Linked DNA regions of Caenorhabditis elegans. The protein of the gene in region 1 purifies or fractionates together with the protein of each later gene. This does not show direct contact. Each region holds a gene or a part of one and is shown on either strand. Other genes may lie near its edges.

Evidence for each region.
Region 2: the proteins of cpr-9 (region 1) and lys-4 fractionate together in Caenorhabditis elegans (co-fractionation; one large-scale study listed by BioGRID). This does not show direct contact.

What each region holds. Positions count from the first base shown.
Region 1 is NC_003283.11:12,001,314-12,005,380, forward strand, and holds cpr-9 (Peptidase C1A papain C-terminal domain-containing protein), read left to right. Parts: upstream 1-1,739; 5' UTR 1,740-1,860; coding exon 1,861-1,863; intron 1,864-1,919; coding exon 1,920-2,165; intron 2,166-2,261; coding exon 2,262-3,068; 3' UTR 3,069-3,271; downstream 3,272-4,067. Other genes in the region: gcy-33 (guanylate cyclase), read right to left, coding at 392-463; F57F5.3 (ABC transmembrane type-1 domain-containing protein), read right to left, coding at 3,319-3,599, 3,651-3,906.
Region 2 is NC_003282.8:11,620,709-11,624,924, reverse strand, and holds lys-4 (LYSozyme), read left to right. Parts: upstream 1-1,750; 5' UTR 1,751-1,826; coding exon 1,827-2,028; intron 2,029-2,619; exon of another isoform or gene 2,620-2,640; intron 2,641-2,986; coding exon 2,987-3,429; 3' UTR 3,430-3,496; downstream 3,497-4,216. Other genes in the region: lys-5 (Lysozyme-like protein 5), read left to right, coding at 187-629; dsl-5 (Delta-like protein), read left to right, coding at 3,987-4,037, 4,084-4,216.

The DNA.
Region 1 (4,067 bases):
AGGCATAATTGTTTTTTAAAATTGTTGCTTCGAAAGACTGGCTAGCCAGCTGTCTCAAAAGTTTGGAAGTTTTATAACAATTTTTTCTGATATTTTTGGTCTTATGAACATGTAAAGATAAATTTTCTTTAAAAGATAATTTTTACGTCGAATTAGAAAAAAAATCGAGAAAAAATCGCAATGTTCTAGAAGTCTTTTCCGGTTAATGACGTCATAAAGTTTAAAGCTTAATATTTGAATGGGCGCCTTTTTTATATTGGCTGCATAGCTACTCACCTACACATCAATATATAATTGATACGGAGTCATTAAAAAGTTAAATGTTTTCAACTTTCATTTGGAATTTGAAAGATCATTCAAGTTGGTATTTAAAAATTAGAAAAAGTCAAACCTGCAGAAGAACTTGGGGTCCCCAGTTTTCCTGTATCATAAACCGAACACCTTCAATGACCAATCCGTACATTTTGCGGGTTGATTTCTGCTAGAAGATGTTTGAAAATGCTGACTAAAATCTGAATAAGGTGTTTCCACTACCAACATCTTCCAACTTCCGTGCCAGTTTCCGTTAGCTGTACACTGTTGCCCCCTATTTTAATAATCTCATCTTCGATTCGTAATATCCATTAGCTCACCTCTCCCCCTTTCCCTTGAAATACAAATGTCTGCGTCTCTCCCCGCTCGTTGCTCTTTAGGTCTCCCACCTTTTCCTCTATGTAAGGCAATGGTCAAGAGACCGCACAACACAGTGGTTCATGTGTGTATCCCTTACCCCTCCACAGAGACACAGCATAGACGGAGAGAGTCTAGGAGACCGAGGAGAGCAGTATACTTGTCAAGGCTAATTCTCATGCGTTAGGGCCGTGCCCCATTGGCGCAGTCGGTTAGCGCGTGGTACTTATAGTCTATAGGTTATGCCAAGGTCGCCAGTTCGAGCCTGGCATGGGGCAGATTATTTTTGTTTTATTTGAGGTGTCTAAAGTAGTTTAAACGACATTTGTAGCCCCTATTTCGTGTTTTGTAGTGAAATGTAGTCTGTTTGATTTGTGGGAGTTGGAATCGATCTTCTACGAACCTGTGATAAGAATAGTGATAACCTAAACATTGACGTACATGCATCTTTATGATAAACATGTCATATGACAAGTTAAGCAGGTCAAAGTTAATAGCTCGATGTATTCTAGTTAGTATAACAGCTAACACACCAGAGCCAAACTAGCAAAATCTGTTTGAATGTTTGTTTTTAAATTAAATATCAAACATTAATTAAAACAAAATTGATAGACTGGTATGTACTTTAATCCAGATCGTCAATGCCATGCAATCTCGCATTATGGTCGCGTGTGACGTCACATTATCTTAAAACACGGATGTTTTTTTCGGGAACCGAAAAAACGAGCTGATAATTGTAAGGAAACTATTTTCAGTTTAAAATTGTACTGCTGGAAAGTTGATATGACCAGGATAGTACGAAAATACACCTATTAAAATGTTCGAAGAATTATTGGAACAGTCTATTACTAGGGATTATATTTAAAGGCATAACACTATGAGAGCACAAAATATAATATTCTTTAATCACCTCTACAACTCGTTAACCCTGCAAATTTTCGCTTTCAAAGTCCAAGTTTAAGCAAATAATTTGAATTCTCCCGCAAACATGCACGTGTCTAATCAGGCCTTTCACTTCGAAATGAAACCGGAGCTAGTAGCGAAATGCCTAATTCTTATCAGCAATATTCGAGAAAACGCCAAACTTCAAAAGTTATCAGTCGCTTGAAACGAAAAAACTATAAAACCCCTGGTAAGCGCTTGATAAATTGGTCGACTGTCGAATTTCCCAATTCTCCAGCCAATCGAAAAATGGTAAGGCTTAATTTTCCTGAAGTTTAACTTCAGTTTCAAAAACTTTTCAATTTCAGAAAACTGCAATTGCTGCTCTTCTTGTCGGCCTTGTCGCCGTCAACGCCTACAATGTTGAGGTTAAGCACGGAGATGCCATTCCAGTTGAAGCTCAAATGCTTCGTGGACAGGAACTTGTTGATTACGTCAACAAGGTTCAGACTTCCTTCAAGGCTGAGCTCGGATCATACTTCAGCTCTTACCCAGATACCATTAAGAAGCAATTGATGGGAGCTAAGATGGTCGAGATCCCAGAAGAGTACAGAGTTAGTAAATTTGAATATTTTAAAGATTTTGAAAAACGCTTCCCAAAAAATACAGATTTCTTTCAAACTAATTTATCCTAATGAAATTGTTTCCAGGTTTTCGAGATGACTCATCCAGAAGTCGAGGATGCTGCTGTTCCAGACTCATTCGATTCCCGTACCGCATGGCCAAACTGCCCATCCATCTCCAAGATCCGTGATCAATCATCCTGTGGATCGTGCTGGGCTGTCTCTGCTGCTGAAACTATTTCTGATCGTATTTGCATTGCGTCAAATGCCAAAACTATCCTTTCCATCTCTGCTGACGATATCAATGCTTGCTGTGGAATGGTCTGTGGAAATGGATGCAATGGTGGATATCCAATTGAAGCCTGGCGTCACTATGTTAAGAAGGGATACGTTACCGGAGGATCTTATCAAGATAAGACTGGATGCAAGCCATACCCATATCCACCATGTGAACATCACGTCAATGGAACTCATTACAAGCCATGCCCATCCAACATGTACCCAACTGACAAATGCGAACGCTCTTGCCAAGCTGGATATGCTCTCACCTACCAACAAGATCTTCACTTCGGACAATCTGCATACGCCGTCTCAAAGAAGGCTGCTGAAATCCAAAAGGAAATCATGACTCATGGTCCAGTTGAGGTTGCATTCACTGTCTACGAAGATTTTGAGCATTACTCCGGAGGAGTCTACGTTCATACCGCTGGAGCCAGTCTTGGAGGACATGCCGTAAAGATGCTCGGATGGGGAGTTGATAATGGAACACCATATTGGCTCTGTGCCAACTCATGGAATGAGGATTGGGGAGAGAACGGATATTTCCGTATCATTCGTGGAGTTAACGAGTGCGGAATTGAGGGAGGAGTCGTCGGAGGAATTCCAAAATTGTAAATCTCGAAACATTGTGTTTGTGATTGCAACTTCAATGCCTATTGTACAATATGTATTCGATTTATAAATATTTGAATTATTCTTATATTTTCTGTTAACATTTGCATACAAACTTGAATTACATATTTTTTTGTCAAGATTAATTCGAATTCTGTTTCTTTTGTTCCAAAATTCAAATTGTTTGAAAAGGGTTATTATAATATAATGCACAGAACTTGTACTCCCAAAAAATTGTATGAAAAATATATGTTCATTGAACAGATAGTAAACGAACAAAACAAAACAAAGTAATGACATAAAAAATAAAAAGGGATAATGAAAATACAGAATATGCAATAAGTAGATACTGCATCATAAGAACAAAATCAGTTGGAAGACTTGTTAAATCAGATACTCCCAATGGCCAATGATTTGTTGATAACATTAAAATCTTTGACATTCGATTATGAGTTTCTGATTTTATCATATCAATATCATTTCCAAAAAGACTTCGATCCATTACTTGACTTATTTCCACTGATTCTATTGCTGCTGAAATAATGTGATTTTTTTAAATTTTAAACTTTTCAAACTAAAACTCACTTTTCATAAAAACTGAATATTTTGGGAATATAAAATTTGGCACAATAATGACAAGCAGCAGAATGGCAACACATTTAGACAATGCCTTTGATGGATTGAGAATAGCTGTCAGACATATAAAACCGACGATCAGAGCAAATATGGGAAATATGACATGAGCGAGCATTTCAATTTTGACGCCATTCATTTGTATGTAATTCCAAAGAAGTACGTTTTTGGAAACATCAGTCACCAGGAGAATACCGGCTAAAAAAATCTGAAAAAATACACTTTTTAGGTATTAATTTATATATTTTTTGTTTTTAAAGGATTAAAGGACGATCCGTTCTTCAAGTGCTATGAACTCTGGGATACAGGTACACTGCCTGGTGGTAGACTCAAAAATGCCACAAAGGCTATGCCTATTTGCGTTCCTTC
Region 2 (4,216 bases), on another chromosome or scaffold:
TACGGTCAGTGAGTTCAAATGAGGCTTCAAATGGTAACGTGAGAATTCGAAAGTTTCAAAATTAGTGAAATCAAAAGTATGAAGATAACTTCCGGGTATACTGTTTAAATTTTCAAAGAGGCTTAATGGTTACTGTAGACTCCCAGTGTAGCTAGAAGTTGTTTGATTTTTAAAACACTGTTGCAGCTGGCCTCACTGATGTCGATGGATACATCTTCCCTTGCCTAAAATCGACTTGCGCATCTGCTGCTAACCAAGTTAAGGCGTCTCTTGATGCAGTTAAGGCTGCTGGAACTAAGATCTCCACTCTATGGCTTGATATTGAACGTCTCAATTGGCCAGCTGATCATGCTAGCAACCGTGCATTCATTGAAGCAATGGTCAGTGAAGCAAAGGCTTATGGACAACAAGTTGGAATCTACAGTAACTATTACAATTGGCAAGATATTGTTGGATTGGATTATCATGGACAATCTAGTTTGATGCTTTGGTGGCCTGCATACGATGGAGTCAAGGATTTCTCAAAGTACGCTCCATTCGGAGGATGGTCGAAGCCAACAATTCATCAGTGGTCTGACACCACTACTGGTCCGTGTGGAGTCTCTGTTGATATGAACTACATTCCATAAATAATTTTTTAGCGCTTTAATAATAAAGTGTATATTTCAGTAAACAACATTCGTTCATTATTATGATTTATTCATTCCTTTAATAACGTTTGAGAATTGCTCCGAGCAATTCAAAGTAATCTGAAAAGCATCGAAAATTACTTGAAATTTAATAAGGAAATTCAGTTTTCGATGACTAATTTTTATTTTGAAACTACTAGAAAGTCTATTCCAACTTTTATAATAATTTCTGCAATAATTATTGAGGAATTCCTTAAGGAATGATACAGTACGCAAATGAGGCATGTACGTTATTATCAATTTTTGTGGAGTATTTCGTCAATTGATCACATTTTGATGCCATCGTCGGTAGCAGAAATCACGTGCAATCAAATAATGATAGACGAAGCAAAAAGGTTGATAATGTAGTCTAATGTGCGAAGTTCAAATTGCTAATCGAAAAATAAAACACATTGGGGAGTTGGGTTTTCAGAAAACTCGGTATATTTGAAATCATCTGAAAATCGGCTAATGACTTTTAATACAATTCCCGGTATTTTTTAGGAAGATGTACCGTCAAAGAGAATAAGTCATGAGCTCAAAAGCTTTCTAGGTCACAGCCGACCTGTGATCTGAAGCAGGGAACAAATCAAGAACATAATCACGTTTTCAAGCATCTAACTTTAAGCACCTTATGTTTTCTCAGCTTTTCACGCTTCCAAACAGATTAATTAAGTTATTTTCAATAAACTGTATAAACTTCAAAAAATTTACAGATAAACAATGAATTTCACAATGTTTGGATTGAAAAATTGATAATTTCTTTAGTGTTAATTTAGGCAACGCCAACAAACCACGCACAAGCCTGCTGCCGGGACCATTAGCTTGTAGAAATAATACAGTACTCGGGAGGGTCGAAGGTTTCAATTTTAGTTCTTTTGATCTCATTGTTGCAAATATTGAAAAACGACGAGAGATAACGGTCGAGAAACCCCGAGAAATATTTTCGAAAATGAGACGAAAGTGTAGTTGCTCTCCATATTTTGTTTCATATTTTACATCAGCCTCTGAATAAAACAAAAAAGATAAGAGAAGAGGGTTTATGAAGTTTTTGATTTTATCTTTCCGCTTGCGTCAAAGTCATAAAATTAGAATCTCCGGTATTTGGGAAGTATAAAAGAAGTGTGTGAAGGCTTAATCAGGGGAGTTCAGAGAATCATGAAGTTCTTCGTCTCGGCTTTGCTTTTGATCGGTGCTGCAAGTGCAGCTAGAAATGGAATTGATTTCATTCAACCAGTGTCTACTGCTACATTTCAATGTATTCATAAGGCTGGATATTCTTTCGTAATTCCAAGAGTCTTTACTTCTGTTGGAACTCTTGATCATACTGGAATTCAAAACGTCAAGAATGCTAGAGCAGGTGAGCATTTCAGATGGGTATCAAGGAATGGTTTTTACCATTTTCAAAATAATTTCCATTCTTGGCAATTTGGTTCTCCTTTCCCTCGCGATTCTTCGCCTCACACTTCTAACTTATAGGTCTGTGCATACTTCCTAGTATAAGTTATGAGTATTAAATTTGTAAGAAAATACTTAAACTAACAAAATCTTATCTCTTTTTCTTATTTCTTTTTGTTTGTTTAAAAACTGCCATCAAATAATTCAAATACACATATTCCCAAAAGTCAAGATGTAGTGGTCAATGAAATATCTTTTCGTTACGTTTTACAACCATTCATTGTCCCCTCTGACTGTCTAGTTTACCAGGGCATGCATTGTCACATGATTGTAAACAGAGTATGGAAAAATAATAATATTCAAATATATTTGTCAATAGGTTGAATATAGAATTCAAAATTTAAACTAATCTTGCTCTTTAATATGTTTTACAAGTATACATACAATGCATCTAGTGAGTGAAACAATATATTACCTCTTGAAACTAAAAAATGAAAAAAAAAATTACAGTTTCTTTCTAAGTATTATTGTCCAGAATAGCAGAAAATTCCAATTTAGGTGATGGTTCGACTGAAAATGTAATATGAATGTTCAAACTTGTAGGGACTACCACAATTATGCTTTTCTAAAAAATTAAACATTTTGGAAAAACTTCCAAAAGAAAAGTTTTAGGTGAAAATTTTTTCAACCATAACTAATCATATGATCCTTTTGAGCTGAATATTGAGACCGTAAGGGGGCCCTTATGATCACTTTAAGTTGGAATAATCAGATCATAAGGATGAGCTTTATAGTATTCCAAGTCAATTATAAGCATTGTACGGGTTCGAACATTCAAACTGATAATATTCCAATTTATTAAAACATCTGAAGTTTTCTACAAGTTTCATTCAGTACCAAGCTAATTACAAATTTTGCAGCTGGCCTCACCGATGTCGATGGATACATCTTCCCATGCTTGAGATCTAACTGCCCATCTGCTGCCAATCAAGTTAAGGAAACTCTTGATGCTTTGAAGAGTGCAGGAACTCATGTCTCTACTCTCTGGCTTGACATTGAACGTCTCGCTTGGCCAGCTAATCACGCCAGTAACCGTGCATTCATCGAGGCAATGGTCAGAGAAGCTCAAGCTTACAAGCAACAAGTTGGAATCTACAGTAACTATTACAATTGGCAAGATATTGTTGGATTGGATTATCATGGACAATCTAGTTTGATGCTCTGGTGGGCAACCTATGATGGAATTAAGGATTTCTCAAAGTTCGCACCTTTCGGAGGATGGAGCAGACCAACAATTCATCAATGGGAAGGAACCACTACTGGCCCATGTGGAGTCTCTGTTGATATGAACTATGTTCCATAAATAGCTGACCAAAATGTATAAACATGAATAAACAAATTTTTATATGTAAACCCATACATTTTCGCTAGTTTCAGACGCGCAATTGATTTCTTGATTTTTTGAAACAATTTAAAACTGTAAAACTGACAACAAATGGGTCAGTTTTAGAACATTCGAAAATTATGTTTTATTTTCAATAATTTTTTGTTACTTATTTAAAAAATTTATCATTATTGTTCGGAGACTTTAATTATATTCTCATTCAGAATTGTTTTCTATTTTTTTAAATCTAGACCTGTGAGTTTCAAGTGAGTTTCGGCCAAAATAGTAACATCAAAATGGCTTTACATTTCAAAAAGCAGATACGGTAAAACTTAAATTTTTGTTCTCTTTTCTTTCAAAACTATTATGTTGTTGATCTTCTAGACACGTTGTCAAGTCAAAATGCGTAGTGATGACGTCACTTGGGGTAACCTTGAATTACACAATTGACCTCAATCGAATCAAAATTAAAGTTGACGAGTACAAATATTTAGTCTTGTTTTTTTGTTTCTCCATCTCATTATCAACATTTCAACATGCAACTTCTTGCGATTTCTTTCTTATTTATAACTTTTATTATTGAATCGGTGAGATTTTTTGAACCACTGTAATTTTAAGATTTTATTTTTACAGATAATTTGTTCTGGATATCTAGAATTACATATTCAAAGTCCTCATATACAAACCGCAATTGTGAACATCTCATCAAATTTTCGAACAGAGAAATCAAAAATAGTGCATTTAAAACTTAAATCTAATGTACCAT